Caenorhabditis elegans: one gene and its partners. The protein of the gene in region 3 purifies or fractionates together with the protein of the main gene of each other region. This does not show direct contact. Each region holds a gene or a part of one and is shown on either strand. Other genes may lie near its edges.

Evidence for each region.
Region 1: the proteins of snr-1 (region 3) and snrp-200 fractionate together in Caenorhabditis elegans (co-fractionation; one large-scale study listed by BioGRID). This does not show direct contact.
Region 2: the proteins of snr-1 (region 3) and snr-7 fractionate together in Caenorhabditis elegans (co-fractionation; one large-scale study listed by BioGRID). This does not show direct contact.
Region 4: the proteins of snr-1 (region 3) and ddx-15 fractionate together in Caenorhabditis elegans (co-fractionation; one large-scale study listed by BioGRID). This does not show direct contact.

Annotation. Positions count from the first base shown.
Region 1 is NC_003280.10:12,732,719-12,739,385, forward strand, and holds the start of snrp-200 (U5 small nuclear ribonucleoprotein 200 kDa helicase), read right to left. Parts: upstream 4,193-6,667; 5' UTR 4,158-4,192; coding exon 3,719-4,157; intron 3,670-3,718; coding exon 2,847-3,669; intron 2,729-2,846; coding exon 1,591-2,728; intron 1,533-1,590; coding exon 1,125-1,532; intron 1,063-1,124; coding exon 1-1,062. Other genes in the region: pisy-1 (CDP-diacylglycerol--inositol 3-phosphatidyltransferase), read right to left, coding at 4,567-4,733, 4,786-5,045, 5,121-5,222, 5,475-5,608. UniProt on the Caenorhabditis elegans protein: Catalyzes the ATP-dependent unwinding of U4/U6 RNA duplices, an essential step in the assembly of a catalytically active spliceosome. Plays a role in pre-mRNA splicing.
Region 2 is NC_003279.8:2,723,823-2,728,661, reverse strand, and holds snr-7 (putative small nuclear ribonucleoprotein G), read right to left. Parts: upstream 1,649-4,839; 5' UTR 1,645-1,648; coding exon 1,516-1,644; intron 1,463-1,515; coding exon 1,358-1,462; 3' UTR 1,280-1,357; downstream 1-1,279. Other genes in the region: Y71F9B.6 (Cyclin N-terminal domain-containing protein), read left to right, coding at 2,011-2,133, 2,187-2,344, 2,396-2,523, 2,592-2,676, 2,755-2,904, 3,261-3,435, 4,495-4,839. UniProt on the Caenorhabditis elegans protein: Plays a role in pre-mRNA splicing as a core component of the spliceosomal U1, U2, U4 and U5 small nuclear ribonucleoproteins (snRNPs), the building blocks of the spliceosome.
Region 3 is NC_003282.8:17,085,148-17,090,626, forward strand, and holds snr-1 (Small nuclear ribonucleoprotein Sm D3), read left to right. Parts: upstream 1-2,901; 5' UTR 2,902-2,911; coding exon 2,912-2,987; intron 2,988-3,037; coding exon 3,038-3,165; intron 3,166-3,216; coding exon 3,217-3,423; 3' UTR 3,424-3,703; downstream 3,704-5,479. Other genes in the region: snx-13 (Sorting nexin-13), read right to left, coding at 88-545, 1,190-1,288, 1,340-1,581, 1,658-1,779, 1,828-2,029, 2,076-2,182; Y116A8C.43 (Lipoprotein), read left to right, coding at 3,704-3,874, 4,000-4,206, 4,258-4,335, 4,677-4,894, 5,448-5,479. UniProt on the Caenorhabditis elegans protein: Plays a role in pre-mRNA splicing as a core component of the spliceosomal U1, U2, U4 and U5 small nuclear ribonucleoproteins (snRNPs), the building blocks of the spliceosome.
Region 4 is NC_003281.10:5,587,016-5,594,117, forward strand, and holds ddx-15 (Pre-mRNA-splicing factor ATP-dependent RNA helicase ddx-15), read right to left. Parts: upstream 4,704-7,102; 5' UTR 4,692-4,703; coding exon 4,636-4,691; intron 4,581-4,635; coding exon 4,484-4,580; intron 4,437-4,483; coding exon 2,849-4,436; intron 2,797-2,848; coding exon 2,436-2,796; intron 2,395-2,435; coding exon of another isoform or gene 2,394-2,394; exon of another isoform or gene 2,382-2,393; coding exon 2,264-2,381; 3' UTR 2,047-2,263; downstream 1-2,046. Other genes in the region: F56D2.2 (RBR-type E3 ubiquitin transferase), read left to right, coding at 248-376, 431-709, 761-913, 962-1,075, 1,123-1,214, 1,263-1,361, 1,410-1,794, 1,843-2,046; ucr-1 (Cytochrome b-c1 complex subunit 1, mitochondrial), read left to right, coding at 5,143-5,196, 5,339-5,464, 5,514-5,730, 5,780-5,979, 6,024-6,266, 6,316-6,373, 6,425-6,542, 6,595-6,805 and 2 more. UniProt on the Caenorhabditis elegans protein: Pre-mRNA processing factor involved in disassembly of spliceosomes after the release of mature mRNA.

The DNA of each region.
Region 1 (6,667 bases), on a different chromosome or scaffold from region 3:
TGGAGGGTACTTCTCAGGCAGAATCAAATGACGGAACGAGATTGGCAACACCGTCTCCGCGCCGATCCATCGATCCGACACGATCCGAACGTAGTAGAGTGGTGGCATCGGATCGAACATCGGCACAATCATCTTCACAACATGCTCATCCGAGCAGAACTTTTGCTTGAGCAGGAAGAACTCGTGATGAAGGATCTTCTCGCCATCGGTATCCTCAATGAAGATCCAGAAACCTTCGGCGCTTCCGTGCACCTTCTCATCCCACTTGAAGTCTGGCGTAATTGTCAGCTCGATTCTCATGGTGGTTCTTGTGATCGGCTGGATGAGAGTAGTCATCTCAAGCTTCGGAAACTGGCGAATGAACTTGAAGAGCGGCTTTCCCATCTTCGGCATCTTAATCAAATCTCCCAGCTGGTGTTGATCCAAGTCATACAGTCTATCGAACGAGTAGTTCTTCTTGTCAATCGATCGAACCACCTCGCTCGGGATCTTCTTGAACTGATGCAGCGGGTTCAACGATCCCCATTGCCGTTGTGTAACCATCTTGCAAAGAGTGAGCACCTTCTGAGCGAGCCCAGCCCAACCTCTCCATAGCACAATCTCGAAAAGAGCTCTGAAGAGTCGTCCGGCACTCTGAGCCACGAAGACCATATCCGCCTGAAGCGCGAATCCTTCGAGCTTCAACTGTGAGATATAGGCTTGAAGAAGGACATTCGTCTTCGCCGACGCTTCATCCAGGTTCTCCTTGATCGGAATCGGCGCGTGCTCTGCCATCTTCTGAAGTTCCAGCTTCTCCTCATCGCGAACCGACAGCAACTTGAATTCGGAGCTCATCGAGAAAATTCTGAAGAGATCGATATCCGAGCACGTCTCGACCAGCAGCTTGTTGTAGGTTTGCATCGACTCGTATGTGCAGTAGAAGTGAGAAGCGATGCGCCCGAGCTCGGTGGCCTGAATGATTCCGCTTCGCTTGTCATATTTGATGAGTCCGGCCTTGTCCAGAAGCACGCAAGCTGTGTGGATGAGATCGGCACGACGTTGTTCTAGAAGAGGATCGGCGCGCTGAAAATTGGAGAATTTTAGGGTTTTCTATGAAAAATGCTAAAATTTCAAGCTTAACCTACCGCTTGCTCATGTGTAATTCCATAAAGCGTCGGATTCTTCAACATTCTCACAAAAAGGAAAGTGTAACCCAACCAATTCGTCGCCTCCGACACACTACTGACAGTGCCGAGCACAACCTCAGCGTTGAGCATATCAGTGAGCCGTGAGACCATCTGCGACTCGACAGGAAGCTGTTGATTCATCAGCGAGAGATAATACTGGAGCTCCGAGTGATTTGTGATGAGAATTCCCTCTCCGCGATCATCGTACTGTGGACGTCCGGCTCTTCCGAGCATTTGCATGATGTCGAGTGCTCCGAGCTCTGTCCAACGTCCTTTTTCCGGGTTATAGATCTGAGTTCCCTTGATGATTACAGTATGAGCCGGCAGATTGACTCCCCAAGCGAGAGTTGCAGTCGAAAAGAGCACCTGAAAAATAATATTTTGAAGATTTGAAATATTTTCGGGAAATTTTCGATTCCCCTACCTGAATATGCCGATCAGCGAACAAATCCTCGACGAGTGTACGATCAACTCTGTTCATTCCAGCGTGATGAATAGCGAATCCATACGGCAAGAGGTCCTTCAAATCCAAATTCTTCGCCTGCTCGGCCTCGGTTCTCAGGATTTCTGTGCTCGCTGAGCCCTCACGCATGAACGCCGACAGCGTGTCCTTCTCGAGGCACGCGTCACGAATCGCTTTCGCGGTTTTCGCAGTTTCCTTTCGGGAATGCACAAAAACGAGGACTTGGCTCTTTCCGGCGTGCTCCATAATCTTGTCGTACACCACTTCGTTCATCGCCTGGAACCTCTTCAAAGCCTTCTTCTCAGTAACTCCAATATATTGTTGCTCGAGGGGAACTGGACGATAGCTGTTATCAAAGAAGTGCAAATGCTCAGGCTTCACTCGCAAGAACGTCGCCACATCTTGATAATTCGGAAGAGTTGCTGAAAGTCCGACCAGTCGGCACTCATCGTGATTCTGCTCCATTTGACGAATCGTTCTGACGACGATCGACTCCAACACCGGTCCACGATCATCGTGAAGCAGATGGATCTCATCAATGATCAACAGCCGAACCATCTGGTTATAGGCTCTCTCTCCGCCTTTTCGCGTCACCACATCATACTTTTCCGGCGTACAAACGATCACTTGTGTCGCCATGAACTGCTCTTTGCTCATTTGAGCATCTCCGGTCATTTCGCCGACAGTGATTCCGAATGGAGCAAGACGTTTTGAGAAGCTTCCAACCATCTCTTGAACCAGTGACTTCATCGGAGCAATGTAGACAATCTTGAACTCATCGAGCTTCACACTTCCATCCTCTGCCAAGTGGTTTCCGATTTCTTGGAGCATCGTGAGCAGCGCCACGTTCGTCTTTCCAGCTCCAGTTGGAGCACAGAGCAAGAGATGCTCTTTGGATCGAAGAGCTGAATCACAGAGTCGGGATTGGATCCTGTTCAGCGACTTGTAGCCGTCGAAAGCCGGTTGGGCCCATTTCGGGAGCTCTGAGACACTGACGAGCTTCTCTCCTTCAGCAAATGGTCGTGGTTTGAGGGCTGGTACGTGGATTTCTTCGTAGGACTTTTTCTGGCGGCGGTAGGATCCGTCGGGGAGCTCGCATCTGCAAAATTGAGAATTTTAGGGTTTTTTGGGAATGTGGACTTTTAAAGTGCATAATGAATCAAATTTCCTTAATTTTCTAATGGAAAATCGTACTTTTAAAATAAAATTGTATTTACCTTTTATTGCTCATCAAATGAGATCCTTGACTGAACGTGAGATCGTTTAGATCCAACATCTTGCGGCCCGCCTGCCACTGTCCCGCACTGATGGCTTCATTTGCTGCTGTGGCGGCCTTCTTCGACTTCTCCGCGTCTCGTTTCGACTTTTCCACCTGCACAACAGATCCCTCATCAGTCTCCTGAAGAAGTGCAAGAATCGGATGAAGCTCTGGACGAGATCGCATATCATCTTCGATTTGGAGACGCTCCTTCTCGTTCGCCTGACGCAAAAGTGTACAGTAGAGGATCATAAGACGATTCTGGCGAAGGCACTTGATGAACTCGAACTGATCGAAGCCTAACAGCAGGACAAGCTGATTCTCGGCGTCACGATCGTCGGCGGCGTTCTTGAGAATTCCGATGACTTCCGTTTGCTTCTGTTGGGCGATCAGAGGATCTTTGAAGTACTTGGCGAGCGATCTTTGGATCCAATGAGCGTCGATGTCACGTGGATGAAGAATTCCTCGTGCTTTTTGCTCATCTTCCGTCAAATGACCATCTCCTTTGAGTGTTGCCGTGTAATCTGTATCCACACCTTCTTCCTCTTCACTCTCCTCCTCACTATCACCTTTGATCTCATTAACCATCCCACCGTCATCTTCTTCCTCATCCGAGTCGAACTGCACATTTACACCCTCATTCTCGTAGATGTCTCCATCGCCTTCAGGCTTATTCTCCTCTTCGATCGAAAAATCGCTGATCTTCTTCGATAAGTTGATGAGAACTGCGATACGATCGTCGGTGAGCGGTCCCAGAAGAGCTTCCACTTCTTTCTTCTTCTCTGAAAAAAAAATATAAATTTTATTGAAAATCTTCGATTTTCACCTCACCTTTATCTCGGAATTTGTCGTTTTTCAGCGTGAGAAGCACCTCGTCAGCGGCTCCGCACAGAACCTCGCGTGGAACATCGCCAAGTGCGTCCAAAATGAAAGACAAAATCACTTCATAAGTCTGCTTCGTCTCCTGGGTTCTGGGCTTGTAGGCTCCCATGAGCTCATTATTGTCGACAAGGACATTCCGGCCGAACTGTTGTGCTTTCTCGTCGTCCTTCTTCTTTCTCTTCTTCTTCTGATCCTGCACCGGCGCTTTTCCCTTGATCGCCCGGTCACCCATCTTCATTTTGCGCATCTCCTTATCCGTGATCGGCAGCACCTCGCCAGTCGGCTCCTCTCTGCCACGCCGATCCGTCAGATTGTAGTCGACCGACAGAACCAAGTTGGAGTTCTGCCGGTACTCATACTGCTGGATTCGGGCTAGCTCGTCGGCCATTGTAGTTTGTAGTCAACTCGGGATAGTCGAATATCCTGCAAAAATCGTGGGATTAAGGTTAAAAAAATCAAAACAAGAAATAAAAATTGAGAGAAAATAGATAAAATCGGCTGGCTGAAAACCAATTCGAATTGAATAATAAATGGAAAATAAAATAAACAAAATAAATATTATTTTACAGAGTAAGTACATCGGGAATTTGCGAAAAAAAAAATTACGGGGAAAAAAATTACAGAGAAATATGTTCAAATTTGGAATTAAATGGAAATCGGAAACATTTTCCTGAGACGAGAGCACTAAAGGACTAAAGCTAAGCGTAAAGCTCGTGAATTAAGTAGTGGGGAATGTGTATACAAAAGCTCATGGGGAATCAGAGGAGAATCTTGGAGACTTCGGGGAGATCCGGAGATCATTGGGCCTTCTGAGCAGCCTCAACACGGAGCTTCACATCGTGAGCAACGACCATCTCGGCGGCAGTGTACAGATGGACGACGGAGATGGCGGACTTGACGAAGGCAATCGGGAAGGCGATGAGTGGGAAGATCGACATGAAGTGGAAGTTGAAGATCAGTGGTCCTGAAAATTAGAGGAATTAATAAATTATAGCAAAAATAAATCAAATATTTACCAGCCCAGAACGCGCGAATGTAGAGCAAAATGTAGAAAGCCTCATTTCCGCCGCACATGAATCCGAGGAACAATCGATCCGTGTAGTAGAGGTTCAGAAGCCAATTCGAAGACTGCTTGTGGCTCGTGGCACCGGAGAGATCAGTGGCGTGAAGGTGAAGCCAGTGAGATGCGATGTCGATTACGGCCGACAGTTGAAGCAGGAACAAGTGATCCGGGTAGAACTTGCAGAGCGCCATCACCAAGGCCAGCAGGGCGCAGCTGAAAATATGAGAATTTTACCGAATCCAATTTTTTTCTCGAATTTTCCAGCATATTTGAGAAATTTTAACGTACCGATCGGTGAGCTGATCGAGCATTGCTCCAAATCGGCTCGATTGATTGTAGGTCCGTGCCGCCCATCCGTCAAACGCGTCGAGTCCGGCGCTGAGTGCATAGCTGAAATTATGAGAAATTTTAATTACGAAAATCTAATTTTCAGGACTTTTCTTCTGAAAAACCTTGTCAGATGGCATTGTAACTCTTCAATTATGGGGGAAAATTGAAAAGAAACCTGGTCACCTTGATTTCTTTACCATGCATCGCAAAAATACTCGACATTTCAGTGAAAAAGAGATGAAAAGTAGTAGTAAACATGGATATTAGCTAATTTTTGATGCAAAAATCGATTTCCAGCTCGCCAAAACTCACCAGAACATTGCACACCATGGCGCTGACGACATGTAGTACATGGCCAAAATGGCGAGTACTATGCGTCCATAACCGATGAGATTCGGGTAGAATAGCCACACATTGTTGTTGTTCTCGGCGGCTGTCGGTTCCATTTTAAGCTGAAAATATTGTTTTTGAATAAATGAGAACGAGAAATCGATTGAAAACACGGGAAAACGAAAAAAAGCGATAAAAAATGCCTTGACAACGGTCCATCTGCTCCAAAGCAAGACATTTTCGAAAATGGGAAGAGAGCGGAGACGCAGATGGTTGGAGATGAGAGAAGAGCTAGAAATTGTTTATTCTCGCTTCATTTGGCTAGCTAATAAGATGGAAAGCTTTTAAGGCAAAAATGTAGGAGTTGGAAGCGTAAATGAGGAGAATTAATGGGAAAAATTAAGAGAACTGGGATTTTTTTTCGAGAATCAGTTTGCATATGGCCGAAAAACTTGTTTTTGCAGCAAAATCAGCTAAATATTCAGCATAGGAACACGCTTCAATAAGAAAATATCAAAAACCTCTCAATAAGTCCACAGAATCGTCCGATTACTAGAATTCCAGCGAAATAGTTAACTATTGCTCTTCCCAGCGATGCAATGGTCCTTGTCACACAATTTATACTTTAAAAACGAATAAATCTCACAATTTAGAACATTTTTGAGCTAAATTATTCAACAAACTGCCGGAAAACACTAAAAATCCAATAGAAAAACCTCAAAAAATGAATTTCGAAAGTCCCGCCAATTGTCCGAGAGAAGTACACGAGAGGCAAACACTCGTGCGCAACGGGATATCGGCAGTGGGAAAATGCATGCGCCTTTAAAAAATTAATCTATTTCGTGAGGAATTAACTCAAAACAAGCTGAAATTGGTTGATAAAAAGCAGAAATGTGATAGCAAATCATGAAAAATCGAAGAAAAAAAAAATTTCAATTAAAATTTCGACAAATTTAACGAGAAAACTTTTACGAAGTGAATAATTACCGGAATTCCGCCCGGAAAAATCAAAAATTTGAAGTTTTAAACTCATTAGGTGGCTCCAGATGAGCTAAATGGCCTAAATATGAACGCAAGGAACGAATACAGCAAATTGAAAATAGACAAGAAACTGGGGCGATCAACGACAAAATGGCTGAAAAAGCGTTAAAATTGGTGAAAATTTCAACAAAAAA
Region 2 (4,839 bases), on a different chromosome or scaffold from region 3:
CACCAGAAAAATTGTGGGTCTGCATTTTTAAAAGACGGCGTAAATGGGAATTATTACAAAATAAAAAACGCGGAATCATAACAGAATTAATTTTTTATTTTTAAAATCGGGATTTTGCAATTTTGGCTAAATTCCTTTAAAAAATGAACGATCAATCAGTTGGAGTGTGGAGAATTCAGCCAAAATTGAAAAAAATCGCGTTTTTTTTATTCGGATTTTATATTATTTCGCGATTTTCTTCCGGTTTTTCCTGAATTCGAGTCAAAACATTGGATTTTCTGAAGCTTTTGAAATTATTCGACTTGAAAAAAGGTGATTTTTCCTAATTATCACTGAAAAGCGTTCAATTTTCAAAAGAGAACATCGATAATTTTCGGTTTTTCTCAGCAAAATGTGAAATCGAAGTAGAAAACTCTTGTTCAAATCCAGATCAGGTTTGGGGATTGGCGCCAATTTTTCAAAATGACCTATTGTGACATGTTGATTCATTTAAAATTGATGTGAAATTATAGAAAATCACTTGATTTATCTAAAACAAACATTTATTTCAGTCGAAACACTTGAGGAAGAGCTCAAAAATGGCCTGAAATTAGCAAATTCAGGCTATTTTTCAGCATTTTCTCGCATGTTTCAACTGAAATGGGTGTTATTTTCAGATAAATCGTCTGATTTCTATATTTTGGCGAGAAATCAAGCGAATTCACTGAATTCCGGCTGAGAATCTGCCGCGTTTTGAAAATTGATATTTCAACTCTTCGACGGCTGCAGCCACAAGAGTACGGAAAGATGAGAAAGCACATCTCGTACAGCTTTCGGATGATGATAGGCGTGTGTGTGGAACATTTTTCTGTTTTGAAAGAAGAAAATAGGTCGGCAGAAAAAGAGATAAGAAGTGGGGAAAGAGTATTCTTTTTTGCTGCTGTTGTGCCGAGTAAGAGTAACGAGAAGAATAAAGAGAGAAAAATGTGGAGAGCGTCGTCGACCGCACATAGTGGAAAGAGAAGAGGGATACACAAGTCTCTCCGTGTTTTTGTTACTCTGTTTCGTGCCTCTCTTCAAAATGAACACTATTTCGTTCAATTTGAGCCGTGGAAAAACAAAATGCTGAAAAAAAGCTTTACGATTGATTTTTTTTATGCCTGCAATAATAAAACATAACTTTTGGTACATTTGTTTGTGAATTGATTCTATTTGCGAAGTTCTTATCTATACGAAATTCACGTGAATCAGAGATGAGAAGTGGGTTTTGACCACGTAGTTATCAAAAATTATCAAAAAAAAGGTTCAAAAATTTAATATCAAAATTTGAAAATGAAAACATTGAGAAAGTGACAGGAAATTGTGGAGATCGAAAAATCTAGGAGATTCTCTCCTTGGGCTCCATGATGACGACGGAGTTTCCGCGAATGACAGTCATGCCGAGGTTGACGGATCCTCCGTCCTTTTGGTACTCGACAGCTTCCTGCAATATTAAATTTTAGAATAAATTAGACAAAAACGGAAAAAGAAACATACGTCGATGACCATGTTCATGAATGGATCGAAACCGCGGAGGATTCCAGAGACGCGACGGTTTCCGTTGAGCTTCAAGTCCATCTCCTTGTCCATGTACTTTTTGAGCTCTGGTGGATGTGTCTTACTCATTTTTCTGAAAAATTGAGAATTTGCAGGGGGAAATGAAAATGAAGAATGGAAAAATCATCAAAGAAACAGATTTTACTTAAAATAGAAAATAAAGCTCATTTTTCAACTTCCACCTATCGAAAATTCAGATAATACATTAATTATAACATTTTTTAACTAATTTTTCAAAGAATAAACATGATAATTATCAGGAAAATTGGATGAAAAAGGCTAAAATCGACGAAATTATTTTTCGAAATTCGAATAGTACGCAAACACCACGCTTGGTACACCATAAATGACGACAAGTTGCAGACGCTTGCACACCGTACTCACACAATTCTTATCGGATTTCCGAGCTTTTTCTTTTCGTTTTTCCAATTTTAGATGGTAAAAAAGAAGAGTAACTATCATATTCTCGTCGCACAAAATTTCTTATCAAATATCAGTGTTGATGGAAGCCACAATGACACAAATCTTCGAATTTTCCAAACAAAAGGCCTTCCGAAGGTGAGAATCTTGGTTTTTCAGCGATTTTCGTAACTAATTGATAATTTTTTCAGATATCTCCAACGGAAAAGAAGTTTTCAAACGGCGCAAGCTCCACAACCACCATCCGCAACAATGAATCAGTGATCTCACTCGGAACATCCGCTTCACTCGGAGAACGGCTAAGCTCGTCGAATTTGCCGCAGGAATACGCGGAGACACCACAGAAAAAGTGAAAATTAGTTGAAAATCAATATAATTAATTAATTTTCTCTATTTATAGAACTTCAATCTTCCGAAGAATCGCGAAAATCATGAGCTCCGACGACGTGATCTATTCAATGACCGCCACAAACAGTAGATCTCCGATTCTTGAAGAAGGCGTCGGGAGAGAAGATAGTGGGCTGATTGGTGAGCTGGCGAGCTTATAAAAGCTTACAAAACTTGAAATAAAATAAATTAATTCAAAATTTTCACAGAATTTCGCTCAGAATCACCATCTTGTTCTTCAAATCAGTTCAGTTTTCTGAGAAGGCTCAAAAGCACCATTACCCATGCAGATAGGTGAGTTCAACCATCATAAAATCCTCTAAAATCCCCCACACTAACCGTTCCGTGTTGCGAACTAACCCACATTTTCAGATTTTACATCTGCACCTCGACGAATGGCCAGCCTCTGGCAGTTTTCTCGTATATCTCGCCGAACAGCGACTACGTGGATCCGCTGGCGCCGATTTTCGCCAACACAACCGTCAATAAGAAGAAATTCCGATCGAAATCGATTTTTGGAAGGTTTAGAATTAACATCTCCTCTATAATTTATATCTTCTACCTAATTTTCCCCGAAAACTGGCAATTATCTAACAAAATTTCACAAAAAAAGCGCAGGAATTCAGAAATTTCGGCTATGCGATCTTAAAGGCACATGGGTTTATTCAGCTGTGCATCGACGCGAAAAGACAGCATGTGGTAGTTTTTTTTGTTAAATTTTTCAGTTTTCAGACCGAAAAAAAGGAAAACAACGCAAATTTTCAGCAGAAAGTAAGAAAAAACGCTGCAATTTGCTAAAAATCCGTGCGCCTTTAGGTCAAAATCTTGAAAAAATACGATAAATTCCCATAATTTCACCTTATAATCCAATTTTCCAGCTCGGATCGCATGCGGCATCAGGCTCACTTATCAACAGAAGAGCTGCGGCCATTTGTCTTCCGAGACGCTGAAGATCAAGTAATTCTGGGGCAGATTCGCCGAAAGCGGAATCCTTCGCCGTTTTTCACGCTGTTCGACAAGTCGCCCGCCTCGATTTCCAGGAAAGAGCGGAGGGTGAGGCTTTGAATTTTGAATTTTAAGATTCAAAATCCGCGGAAAAAAGGCGAATTTTAGCTAAAATCTTCAATTTTACCGAGTTTTTCGTGTCGTAGCAGGCGAAAATTCGTATTTTTGCAAATTTTGCTCGTTTATTTCACTTTATATCGTTGATTTTCGTACTGTTTAAAGATGGAGTAGCGCCAGTGAGGAAATTGCTTTAAAACATGCCTATGGGGCCACAATGGCCGAATATCATGATAAAAAATTTTTGAAAAATGTTCTAAATTTTACATGATTTTTTGAAAATTGAAAAAATCTCAGTTTTTGCCTAATTCCTATTCGAATTTCCGCCAATTGGATTTGTTCGATTGAGCGCGCTTGCACGTTTTTAAATTTATTTATTTTATTTTTTGTTATTTTCCACCGATTTTTAATGTTTTCGGTGTATTTTTGCTCGAATATTAGAGAAAAAGTCAAAATGATTGCAAATTTTCAATTAAAAAGCACTCTTACAGGCGTAAATCAGTGAAATCAATTAATTCAGGTTCGAAATCGTTTAAAAGCGTTACTTTTTGATTTTTACGCCTGTTTGCTTTTTAATCAAAAATTTGCATTTATTTTGACTTTTTCTCTAAAATTCCACCAAAAATACACCGAAAACATTAAAAATCGGTGGAAAATAACAAAAAATAAAATAAATTAATTTAAAAACGTGCAAGCGCGCTCCATCGAACAAATCCAAATGGCGGTAATTCAAATAGGAATTAGGGGAAAACTGAGATTTTTTCAATTTTCAAAAAATCATATAAAATTTAGAACATTTTTCTGAATTTTTTATCATGATATTCGGTCATTGTGGTACCATAGGCGTGTTTTAAAGCTATTTCCCCACTGGCGCTACTCCACCGTTAAGGTCTGTAATAATGGATTTATGAAACTTAAAAACTGGCAAAATTGAAGATTTTCACTAAAATAAACCTTTTTTTCGGAATTTTTCGTTCACTTGAGCAGATTTTGAGTCTTAAAATGTGAATTTTAGGTGAAAAGTTGATAAAAAATCGAAAATTTTTACAGGAAAGCTTCCGAAACGGCGAAACCTCGGAGGAAATGTTTGCGGAAACCATCGAAGTTCCACAAGCCGTAAATCGAGATTCAAGCTATGAACGTGGAACTTCAATCGATGAAAAATGCGATTTAGACGCCAGCCGATCAGATGAACCATCATCAGAAGTCATCGATGAGTACGATCCGATCGCATTTTCCGAGTTGGGAATCGGAAAACGGACTGTAATCCGTCACGAGTGTTGCGTGGCAAGCACACTTCATTGTGAATCGGCGGAGAGGGCGAAACAAGTGATAAATGAGGATTTCGAGGCGAAATACCCAATGATTCATCTGACATTGAGCAAAATGAAGAGT
Region 3 (5,479 bases):
CAGTGTTTTTCATCAAAAATGGTGTTCTAAAGCAAAACTAAGCCAAAAAAACTGCAAAATCACACAAGTAGGACATTTCCAATGTACCTCAATGGCTAAATAAAGATCAATATAATTTTGACCGCCAGCTGATTTGAGAAATTCGCAGAACTGTGACAGAGCAATAGAATTCGTGAGAATAACGTGAAGTGGAAGCTGTACAAGTTGATCTCCATCTTCGCCAAATTTCGTGAGCAACGCGGAATCTTTGGATCCCAAGAAGTCGATTCGCCGCTGAACTAGATTTTCGACGAATTGTAGACTGGCTAGTTGTTGTTTAACGAAAGTATCCTGTTCTCCACCGGAATCCTTCCCTCTCATTACAATTTTTTCGTCAGCAATCGCTCGGAACACGGCTTCCAGCTCTTCGATGGATGTTGAACTCGTGAGACACGCCACAAAATCATCGGGTTTTGGTTCCACTTCACTGAGAAGCCAAACGATTAATTGAAATATTTCATTTGGATCGGAGAGGTAGTCCAGAGTAGGCAGAATCACTTTTCTTACTGAAAAAAAAAAATAATAACTAGATTTTTAAATGTTATTTTCGTTTTTTTATCCATTTTTCGCCAGCAAAGAGCGTTGCGAGACCTTCTATGTCCCTTTAAAAGTTGTGTAGATTTACGAGCACCGTGTACTATGCGAGGACAAGCGTTTTTTTCGGCAAAAATGTCTGAGATTTCCTATTTTCTGAAGAAAAATTGTGTGTTTCGATGGTTTTGTTGCTATTTTTTGAAAAATCGAAAAACTTTAAATTTTTGGATTTCAAAAAAGTTAACGAAAAATATTTTTTAGTTTTTTCCCCGATTTTTCGAAAAATAGCATTAAAATTTTTCGATTTTCAACAAAAAATCAATAAAAAATTATTTTTTCTATAATTTTTTTTATTATTTTAGGCAGAATTAAATTTAAAACGCAAAAAACCGTGAAATCCTGCTAGAAAATACGTTTTTCATGCTTGTCCACGAGTATACTCGTGGCTCGCAAATCTACACATCTTTTAAAGGGACATTGACTTTTTTTTCAGAAAAAAATTAAATTTTCCATCAAATTTCGGTCATTTTTTGTCTTTTTAGAAGAAAATTCGATTTAAAAATTGATTTTATTTTTTCAATTTTTCTCAATTTCCTGAATATCTTCCGACACTGACCAACAACTTCTCGAAGCAAGAATCTCAGCGGCCGACATCTAAAATCTTCCGGTGGCATTATTAAATAGAGAATTATATCGACAAGATCATGAAGATAGGCTGAAAAATCGGAAAAAATTGAATTTTTTCATCGAAAATCTCAATTTTTACCATTTTCATAATGCGGTGTAGTTGAAAGAAGATCTCTACACAACGATTTTTCCATTTCCAGCTCAAAATCAAAGAAATTGCTGAGCAATTCCGCTTCCAAATCTTCAGGGGATAATGTTTTATCTTTTTCCTTCGCTTGAAATGCAGTTCTTTCCTTAGCTTTCCGGAAAAGCCGTAAATGAGAAGCAAAATCGTCGACAACGTCACGCGTGAGCAATGGAACCCAATCAACCTGGCGGAGACTGGAAATTTGAGATTTTATTGATTTTTTTCCATTTTTTGTTTTATAAAATAAAATTTTATTAATGAGCTACACACCATTGTGTCAATGAGGCAATTGATCTTCGGGAGGTTCTCTTTAAGCTTTGTTCAAAAATATTATCATTTGAAAGTGTTTTATACCAAAAGCCGACGTAATCCCGTGTTATATTGCCGAGAATCTAAAAAAAAATATTTTTAATAACATTTCAGTCCACATAAATCCCTACTTGTTCTAAAACCAAATCTAATTGCGGTGAATTGCACATTGAATGCACCTCCACATATTGATTTTGCTCTTTGAGTCGTTTTCCATTTTTCAGCAGAGCCTCAATTCCCGCAGATAATTTTCCTTTTTGCAGATTTTCGGATAAAATTCCAGCGATTTCGTCATGTTTTTCGTGTCCCGTTTGATAGAAAATGTAGAGAAATCTGAAGGTATTCCAGTTTAAGGTTTTTCTAAAGAATTAAAGCTTACCCCGCTACGAAACAGAGGATACTGGCTGGAAGAACGATTAGACCGGTTGAACCGAATGTTGCTAGGAAAAGGACTACAGCAAGGAGAATATAAAGCCGATTTGACATTTTTCTAGAGAATTTTCCGATTTTTCTTCATATTTTACATAAAATTATGGAAATTCATCTGTAAAATCTGGTAAATAATTAAAAAATTCTATGCGCATTCCGTAAAACTAGTATCTCGGGGACAAGGGAACGTGAGATTTGAAATAGTTTCTGGCAGCTTTACAAATGAAAATTGCTGTATTTTTTTAGTATTTATAATTGATTAAGAATAATATAATAGTTTTCATTTAATTAAATATTTAAATTTGCATTTTACATAAATGCTAGTCTCCAATTTCGGCGTTCTTGCGTCTCCGGGAAGTTAACTTCATGAGGCCCTTCCCGCAAACGCGCCCCACTGCACACGCTGCGTGCTGCGTCGCGTGCCTTATTTTCGAATTTTATTCCCTTCATTTTTCATTTTGAGCTCTTCATTTTTCGTAATTTTTAGAAAGAAAAACCGTTTTATTTCTAGATTTTCTTCAAAATAAAGTTCTAAAACACATTTTTCTCATCTGGAAATCCATTTGTTGCCACATTTTTCTTGCAACGCGTGCAAATTCTAGAATTTTCCGAAAAAACTTCATTTTCGGGGTTTTATTCCTTTTTTGTCTATTATGCTCAGCATATTTCAAATGAGAACAAACTTTACCGTGAAAAGTGTGAAAATCTGAAATTTTAGGCGATTCTACTTCTTTTTTCTAACGTTTTCTCCCTTCAAGCCGAATCTACAGAATCAAAATTTTCAGAATGACTTCAGTTGGTGTCCCAATCAAGATTCTTCATGAGGCCGAAGGTCACATGGTCACGCTCGAAACCGTTACAGGTAATCATTTTCGAATTTCCCGTCGCTCAATAAATACTTTTCTATTCCAGGCGAAGTTTACCGAGGAAAACTTTCTGAAGCCGAAGACAACATGAACTGTCAGCTGGCTGAAACCGTTGTGACTTTCCGCGACGGAAGAAGTCATCAATTGGACAACGTTTTCATTCGCGGAAACAAGGTTTTTCACCATTTTTCTCTAAATTTCAGCTGTAAACCAATCAATTTCCAGATCCGATTCATGATTCTGCCGGATATGCTCAAAAACGCGCCAATGTTCAAAAATATCGGAAGAGCCCAGAAAGGAGCCATTGGAATGGGTTTGGGAGGTCTCGATCAGCGTGGAAGAGGACGTGGAACCGCTTTCCGTCGACCAATGGGCCGTGGAGGACCACGTGGAATGTCTCGCCCGGGAGGAGCTCCAACGTTCCGTGGATAAGCACAACACGGCGCAAATATAATCAATTCTCTGTATTTTTTCTCTCTCTCGAGTCCCCCATTCTTCCAGTTTCTCTTCTTTTCAAAGCGTGCGCAGACCGTTGAATTTGACGTGATCTCCTGCTTGTCCCGGCTCCGCACTTTGTTATTTGTTGAATCATACTTCATTTTTCATAAATTATTTTCCAGAAAAAAGACGACGACAAACTGGTTTCGGAGATTTCCCTGTAAGATTACCACAATTCCAAAGTGTGGTATTCGCCTAGAATATAACTGGCGAAATGGTAAATCATTCGCCAGTCGTCTTCTTTTTGTTCTCCTTATTCTTTTATTCGCATTTAAATGGAGCATTCGATGATGCAGAGCATTTTCCAAAAGGGATAGAGGATAGAGCCAAACTTTTGGCACGGGCAGACCAGTGTGTGCTAAAATATTTAGAGTTTACCGGCAAAGTGAGTAATTTTTCGCAAAAAATTGAGCGAAAAACTTGAAAATCCACGTTTTTTTTCGAGCCGCTCCGCTTGCTATTGCGTCGCGGTCGCGAATATTCTGTTATTTTTTTTATTTCTCTGTTCAGAAGCTTTCACATCTGCCGTACACTGTAAAACGATGTGCTCTCTCGGAATATTTCACTTGGGAAGAGTCTGGAACATTTTTTCCGTTTCAAAAATGCAATAATTTCGTGTTTTTCGGGGGAAATTCCCTCCAAATATTGAATAATACCGATTTTAAGATGCTCAATTGCAAATATTTGATTATCGATTCGAGGGAGAACCTCCGTGGAGTTTGTAGTTTATAGTCGAAGAAATGAACTTTTAAATTCTGAAATTTTCAGCTTGAAAATTATAAAAAAGTAGATGATCTTTCAAAATCACAACTAAACAATGCTCTGCTTCAATTTAAAGAAGAAAATGTAAGCTGAAAATACAAATTTAATTTAAAAATATTTTTGAAATCGAGGTGCAATCGCCCCCAACGCGAAAAGGTCTCGTTTTGGCGGGGAAACTGGGGATTCAAATATTTTGCGACCTTTTTTAGTCTTTTTTTTGTTGCTCTGACCGTTTTTTTAAATTATTTTTCTGCTAAAAATGTAATTTTTTCTGAAAATCGTCAAGAACAACTGAAAAAACGTAAAAATGTTTAAAAAAAACATGTGAAAACGTTTGAATGTCTAATTTTTGCCGCCAATACCCAACGAGATTCCGTGGAGCGCGATTGCACCAACCTTAATTTCGAAAAGGGCATGTTTTCCAGGTAATAGAGCATATTTTCATCTTTGAAATGAAAGAAATTGAAAATTATTTGGATAACCTTCTGAAAATTAGAAAAATATATTCCCTTATTGTATGCCAAATTACGATTCGTGTACCGACGTTTGTCGGGGAAGATGTGATTTGGCAATTTGCAGAGAATATTTTAAGAGATGATTATTATATTTTGTTGAAAATCACCAAAGAAGCAAGTTATATAGAGTAAGTTTGAATTTTCAAAAAAAAATTCAATTTTCTTTCAAAAGTAAAAAAAATCAGTTTTTATGATGAGAAAACCGAATTTTCAATAATTTCCGGTAATATTTCAACGGCACTTCTTAATTTGTACGCGCCTTTTGAAATCGAGGCGCAATCGCGCTCCAACGCGAAAAAGTTGGGTACCGTTAGGAACTGGCGGCAAAACGATAAATTCAAACGTTTTCAGTTATTTTTCGGCTTATTTTCGTTATTTCTCTGGTGGTGTTTTATAATTTTTTTTGTCAAAAAAATTCAATTTCGTCATAAAATGCATAAAAATCACTCAAAAAATCACAAAAAAGTCGAAAAATGCTTGATTTTCCCCGTTTTCGAGAATTTTTCGTATTTTCCGTAAATTTTTATGCCAAAAATCTGTTAAAAAAGTAATTTTGACGAAAAGTGCTCGAAAAACATTTGATTTTCTAGCTTTCCCGTCTAAAAGGTCCAATGTTCGGTGGAGCGCGATTTCCAAATTTGCATTTTTCTACGTCTCCATAATAACACGACATTTTTTCAGGTTCTACTTCTTCGCGAACAATGAATACCAAT
Region 4 (7,102 bases), on a different chromosome or scaffold from region 3:
CAGTGTTATTTAAATAATAAATATATGGGATTTTCTGCGCTAATATATTAGAAAACTCGTATCTTTCCAATAAAAAGTGGAATTTGAACATCCACGCTTTGTTTCTGTCAGATGGAGCGCGTTTGGTGCATGTTTTTTCAGCGGTTTTTTTGCCCTTTTAAAAAAGTCTAGATTTCTAAACATTTTGAACGCGATACCAGTTTTTCTTGTTCTAGTTTGTGTTAAAATAATTTCTACTAAATTTCAGATGTCAGACGACAGCCGTGAAACTCAGTTATTCGAGCTAGAAGCACTGGAGAGTGTGCTAAGGGAGAATAAATTGACGAGAATCAGTGATTGGGCGGATAAAAATGCAGAAATTCGGGGAATAATTGAAGTAGAATATTGAGCGTATAAAGAAGTTTATTATTAAATTTTTTCTTGATTTCAGGTAGGATTTGACACATTATCCGATCCAAAAGTCACAATTGAAGGAACGTCTGACTCCAGCGATCATTTTTCCATCCCCCTAGACATTCTTCCACCAATCCGATTGAAATTTCATCTTCCAAATGATTATCCCTCAGTATCATCACCAAAACTTGAACTGGAAAGTTATTGGATGAATCAGGAACAAATGACATCTTGTGAAACCGAGTTGGCAAGGATTTGCGAGGAAAACCAGATGATGGAGGTGCTTTTTATGTGCTATCAAACGATAATTGATTCGGTTAGTTTTTTGTTCTTTTTAACAAATTAAATATATAAAAATAAGTTTCAGATAGACCAATCTCACCTAAAAATCATCAATCTGAACGAGGCGTGTGCGCTGAAAAACAATGGAGAAACTATTGAATCGCTGAAAAAGAAAATTCTTGGAAAAGGCGAAGAAGCTGCTGAAGAGCACTTTGTCAATACACTTTTCGATTGTGAAGTAATTTTTTCGTAGTTATAAAATTATACTATTTTTTCAATCTTCCAGGTATGCTACGACTCTCAAATGGGCCAACATTGCATCAAATTCCAGCCGTGCTCTCACGTTTTCTGCAAACAATGTACTTTCGATTATTATCGTACAATATCGAAAGGTGTTGTGGTAAGATCCAATCGATTTTTTTTTTGGAAAAATTGGATCATTTACAGTCAAAAGCCATGCAGTGTCTAGCAGAAGGATGCAAGAGTGAAGCACAACAAAATACGGTTAAGGAGGCACTCGGAGATGATTTATATGCAAAGTGAGATACATTTCCAAAAAAAAAAATCCAAATTTGAATTTCCGCCAGATACGAGACGATTATGCTGGAGAAGGCGATTCGAGAGATGGAAGACACCGTGGAGTGTCCCAGAGAGAATTGTCAAAAAGTCGCCTACGTCACGGATAGGTATAGTTTAAAATATAAAAATAAATGTAAAAAAGAAGAACATTTCAGACAACGCTTCCTGGCCGAATGCTCCTACTGTAACTTTTCGTTCTGCAATCTGTGTAAGCAGACATTCCACGGAATAGAACGCTGCAAATGGAAGAAAGGAGACAAAGAGCTTCTTGTCAAAAGATGGAAGGATGGAGATGAAGCTGAGAAGGCTGAAATGTGCAGGCAATTTGGAGGAGAGAAGCGTGTCGAGGAGCTTGTGGAGCGGTTCCTCAATGAGGAATGGCTGGATTCGAACAGCAAACCGTGTCCCAAGTGCTCGGTGAGCATAGAGAAGAATGAAGGATGCCACAAGATGCACTGTACGAAGTGTGACACCTACTTCTGTTGGTTGTGCTCTGAAACTCTTGACAAGGAAGATCCTTATAAGCATTTTCAGGGAGATGTTGGTTTTTTCTTAGAATTGTGTAAGAAATGTATTTTTCATTTTCAGGGATCATGCTCTGGACGTCTGTTCGAAGGAGTTCATCACGATTTGCTAGATAACGATGACGATCTTCTTTTCGATATGGCATTTAACGACGGTAGTGACTATGACAGTGATGAGACCGTCGAGTATCCTGAATCCGACGAAGATATTGATGCGGAGGATTGGTTAGAGCAAGAAGGACATTTTGACGAGCTTTTCTTTAATTAACATAACTTTACGGTTTTCTCTAAATTTACGGATTAATTGTCAAATAAAATGAATAGTTCATCCTTTTAGATTTGGTGATTGATTTAAAAGTGAAAATAGAATTAAAAGAAAGGGGTAAGAAATAAACAAAAAATAAATAGAAACAATCAAAAAATTTGACAAGGGGCAATAGGGATAAAAGAGGTTTGGGGAAATGAGATCAGATGATTCGGAGGCATCAATAGCCTCTGCCAGCGTTTCTCTGCAGGGTCTGCATCACAGTAGTCAGCTTCCGTTTCGTGTCTCCATCTGGGAAGTTGTCGAGATCATAGTATTGAGGGGCGATTTGAAGTAGCCTGAAACGCATATCTAGTTAGGTTTTGAATAATATAATTTGCAAATTAACTCACCATTCAGGGCGCACATCAGTTACAGTTCTGATGAAGTTCTTTGTGGTTAACACGAACTCATTGTAGAGTGCCCACTCCGGCTTATGATCGAGAACTGTGGATGGATGAAGGTTGACGAGCTGATTATCTTTCACCGTCACGTAGTGTCCACTTCGTTCCAGATGAGCGACTTGCATGAAAAATCCAGCTACAAGAGCTTTCCTGATGTTGAGATAATAGTCTCGAGATTTGAAGTCTGTTGAGACACGTCGAAGATTGTACTTGTCCATAACACGCGACAATTGTGTGCGGACTGTGTCGGCAGTTTTCATAGTTCTGTAGTTGATGAAGTTATCGTAACACCACTGCGGATCTTCTTGATCTGAAATATGCGAAACTAATATTTGAAAAAAAGAAAAACAAAGTCAACTTACTCTGCTTGAACGAATGATAGACATTGAGAAGTGTGAGATGATCTCCATCAATATGTGCAAACCGAGCCTTCGCCTCATCGGCTTCTGTTCTCATTTCATTGGGACGAACCCAGCACTGCGGAACCGAGAGCATTGCTGTGATCGACAAAATTTCATTTGAGCAATTGAGTTCAGTGGATGTGATAAGCATCTTTGCGAGCTGAGGATCAAGCGGGAACTCAGCCATCAGACTTCCTAGTTCAGTGAGCTCTCCATCGTCGTTGATCGCCTGAAGATAGTTTAACAGTTCCAGCGCTCTCATCAATGTCTCTGGTGCGGGAGGATCCATGAAATCGAAGTGCACAAGATCTTCGGTTCCGAGCTTCTTGAGCTGCAGCACAACAGATCCGAGATTCGACCGAAGAATTTCAGGATATGTTTGATCTTGCATTTCTGATCCGTAAGCCGTTTCGGTGTAAAGCCGGAAACATTTTCCTGGCTTTGTTCTTCCGGCGCGTCCAGCTCTTTGCATAGCAGAAGCTTTCGAAATGGGACAAACAAGCAGCGACTCGACACGAATTCTTGGATTGTACACTTTTTGCTTCGAGAATCCAGGATCGATAACAAAGACAACGCCATCAATAGTCAATGATGTCTCAGCGATATTTGTAGAGATGACACACTTTCTGCTGATTGCTCCATTCGGTCGATTTGGTGGTGCTGGTTCGAAGATTCTCTGCTGTGCTGCTGGGGGAAGTGTAGAGTACAACGGAATGCAGCTGAGTGCTCCAGCATCTGCTCCCAAGGCTTGAATCTCACGATCTATTCTTTTGCAAGCTTCTTCGATCTCTTCTTGACCAGTGAGGAACAGTAAAATGTCACCTTCAACCTCCTCGACCATATGAATTTGGATTACAGTTCTGATCGCGGCTTCTAGATAATCTTTCTCCGCATTTGGAGTGAAGAAGATCTCAACAGGGAATGTTCTTCCGGGAACACTGAGCAACGGGCAATCCTCGAAATATCTTTGAAACTTTCCTGCATCCAATGTAGCGGACATGATTACGACCTTGATATCAGCTCGATTTCTCACGATTTCCTTGATCAGTCCCATAAGAATATCTGTGGCGAGTGTTCTTTCGTGAGCCTCGTCGAGAATAAGGACTTTGTACTTATCGAGGAGCGGGCTGTTCATTGCTTCTCGCAGCAACATACCGTCTGTACAGTATTTGAGAACAGTTCGTTCGCTGATGCAGTCTTCGAAACGAATACTGTATCCCACTTCTTGTCCCAAAACTACGTCCATTTCCTCAGCAACTCTTGTCGCAACGCTCATCGCAGCGACCCGTCTAGGCTGTGTGCAAGCCACCAATCTCGCTTGACCGGGTGGTTGTCCTTGTTGCTGCTGCTTCATGAACTCGACGGCCCACTGTGGGATTTGCGTGGTCTTTCCGGATCCCGTTTCTCCGACAAGAGTGATGCACTGGTTGTTCCGGAGCAGCTCCATAAACTTTTCCTTATATTCCCATACTGGCAATTGACTTCTTTTCTCCCAAATTGCCCAATATCGGTTACTAAATGGCTGGTTGTTGTATGGATTGATTTGGATCTGTAAATTTGGAGATGAGAAACAAAAATTCGTTTACTAAAAAATACCTTCATATTTCCAACTGCCCCAATCTGTCTTTTCCGGTCGGGGGAGGAGCGTCTGTGTGGCGATCGGGAGCGGGATCGGGATCTGCGGTTAGGAGATCTGAAAATAAATTATTATTATTATATTGAACTGGGGAAGCAACAATTTTACTTACCTTCTTCTGTCTCCGCGTCCGCTGCCATCTAAATCCAATCGGTGTCTCGAAGACATCGCAAGTTTCTCCTTCAATAGGAAAATTAGAGTTTCAAGTGGCTTTATAAAGCGTTATACGAAAATATTAGGTATTTCGAAAAGCTACGCGCAGGATAAATGGATTAAATGTATGACAAATTAAGAAAACTAGTTGAAAAAGGAGAAAATCAGCAAATATAGAGATATTGGGAACAAAAGACAGAATTTCGCAGAATATATTCGGAATAAGTATGGAGCGATTTACGGGTGCGCCTTTAAACTTTCGGTGGGTCTCGAAGCGATTCCGCTGTCTGCGTCTCTGCACTGCTGGGCGGCTTGATGGTTTTAGTTGTTTTCAGCTTCTTTTCGAGTTTCAGATATATTTTTTCAAGTTTTTCAATTTAAAATAATGTTCTCTGAATTTTTATCTATCGATTAATATCCTATTTATATATTTTTATTTTCAGAGAACAGGGGAAAACTTGAGAGAATGGCTCTCAGACTCGCCGTCAGCTCTGCTTTGCGTCCGGCTCTCAATAGCCAGGTAATTTTCTTGTGAGATTGCTAAAAGAGAAATAAAAACTCTTAATTGAAAATAAAATTGAAAGTTGTATGCCCACAGGTCGCATGGAGAACGTAACAACGATGATAATGTAGAAAATCTAATTAAATTAATTAATTTTCAGGTTCGCAATGCTTCATCAGCTGTCTCCGTGAAGGACGTGCTTGCCAGCGCTCCACAAGCTGAAGTTACCACCTTGAAGAATGGCTTCCGTGTTGTCACCGAAGATAATGGATCCGCCACCGCTACCGTAATTTTGCCCACTAGTTTTCTAAAATTTCTTTTGTTTTAAATTGTAGGTGGGAGTCTGGATCGAGACCGGATCTCGTTTTGAGAACGAGAAGAACAACGGTGTCGCACATTTCCTCGAGCGATTGATCCACAAGGGAACTGGAAAGAGAGCATCTGCTGCTCTCGAATCCGAGCTTAATGCTATCGGAGCAAAACTCAACTCGTTCACTGAGCGTGACCAAACCGCAGTTTTTGTCCAAGCTGGAGCTCAAGATGTTGAGAAAGGTAAATATTTGTAACTTATAAAATTGTGTTAATTTTCCAAAATTTTCAGTTGTCGATATCCTCGCCGATGTTCTCCGCAACAGCAAGCTTGAGGCCTCAACCATCGATACCGAAAGAGTTAATCTTCTCAAAGAGCTCGAAGCTTCCGATGACTATCATCAGCTTGTCCTCTTCGATATGCTCCACGCTGCCGGATTCCAAGGCACCCCACTCGCTCTCAGCGTTCTCGGAACCAGTGAGAGCATTCCAGTAAGTATTTATTTGGGTTTACATAAAGTTGATTATTTTTTCAGAATATCTCTGCTCAACAATTGAAGGAGTGGCAAGAGGATCATTACAGACCAGTGCGCATGGTTCTGTCCGCTGTCGGAGGAGGAGTTTCCAATGTTTCAAGCCTCGCCGATAAATATTTCGGAGACTTGAGCAACGAATACCCACGAAAGGTTCCACAGGTCGATGGAACACGATTCACCGGATCTGAATACAGATACCGCAACGATAATGTCCCACACATGTATGCTGCTTTCGCTGTTGAGGTACAAATAATAAATGTGTGTTCAGTCTTTCATTTTACTTCATTTTTAGGGTGTTGGATATGCCCACAAAGATGCTCTCGCTCTTCAAATTGCCAATCAATTCATTGGTAAGTTGGCTTTTGTGTGAATTTTTCAATTCAAACCGTAATTTTGATGAGTTTTAGGCCAATGGGATGTGACCCACGCTACATCCAGAACAGCTGCTTCCAGACTTGTCCAAAAAATCGGACACGACCACGGAGTCCATAACCTCCAGCATTTCAACATCAACTACAAGTAAGTATCTTTTTTTGCAAGCTTATTTAAATTTTTATTTTCTTTTTTTCAGAGACACTGGATTGTTCGGAATCTACTTTGTTGCTGATGCTCACGACTTGAACGACACCAGCGGAATCATGAAGTCTGTTGCTCACGAATGGAAGCATTTGGCCTCTGCTGCCACAGAAGAAGAAGTCGCCATGGCCAAGAACCAATTCAGAACCAACTTGTACCAGAACCTCGAGACCAACACACAAAAGGCTGGATTTAACGCTAAGGAGGTTTGTTACTCTGCAGAAAATGCTATGGATAGTTATTTCATTATTTTCAGCTTCTTTACACCGGAAATCTCAGACAGTTGTCAGAACTTGAAGCTCAAATTCAAAAGGTTGACGCTGGAGCTGTCCGCGAGGCTATTTCAAGACATGTGTACGATCGTGATCTTGCTGCTGTCGGAGTTGGTGAGTAGTTTTCCACTTGCTGTTGTTTTTACATTATGAGAATTGCAAACAATTTCTCTTTTCTAGGTCGCACAGAAGCCTTCCCCAACTACGCCCTTACTCGCGCTGGTATGTCGT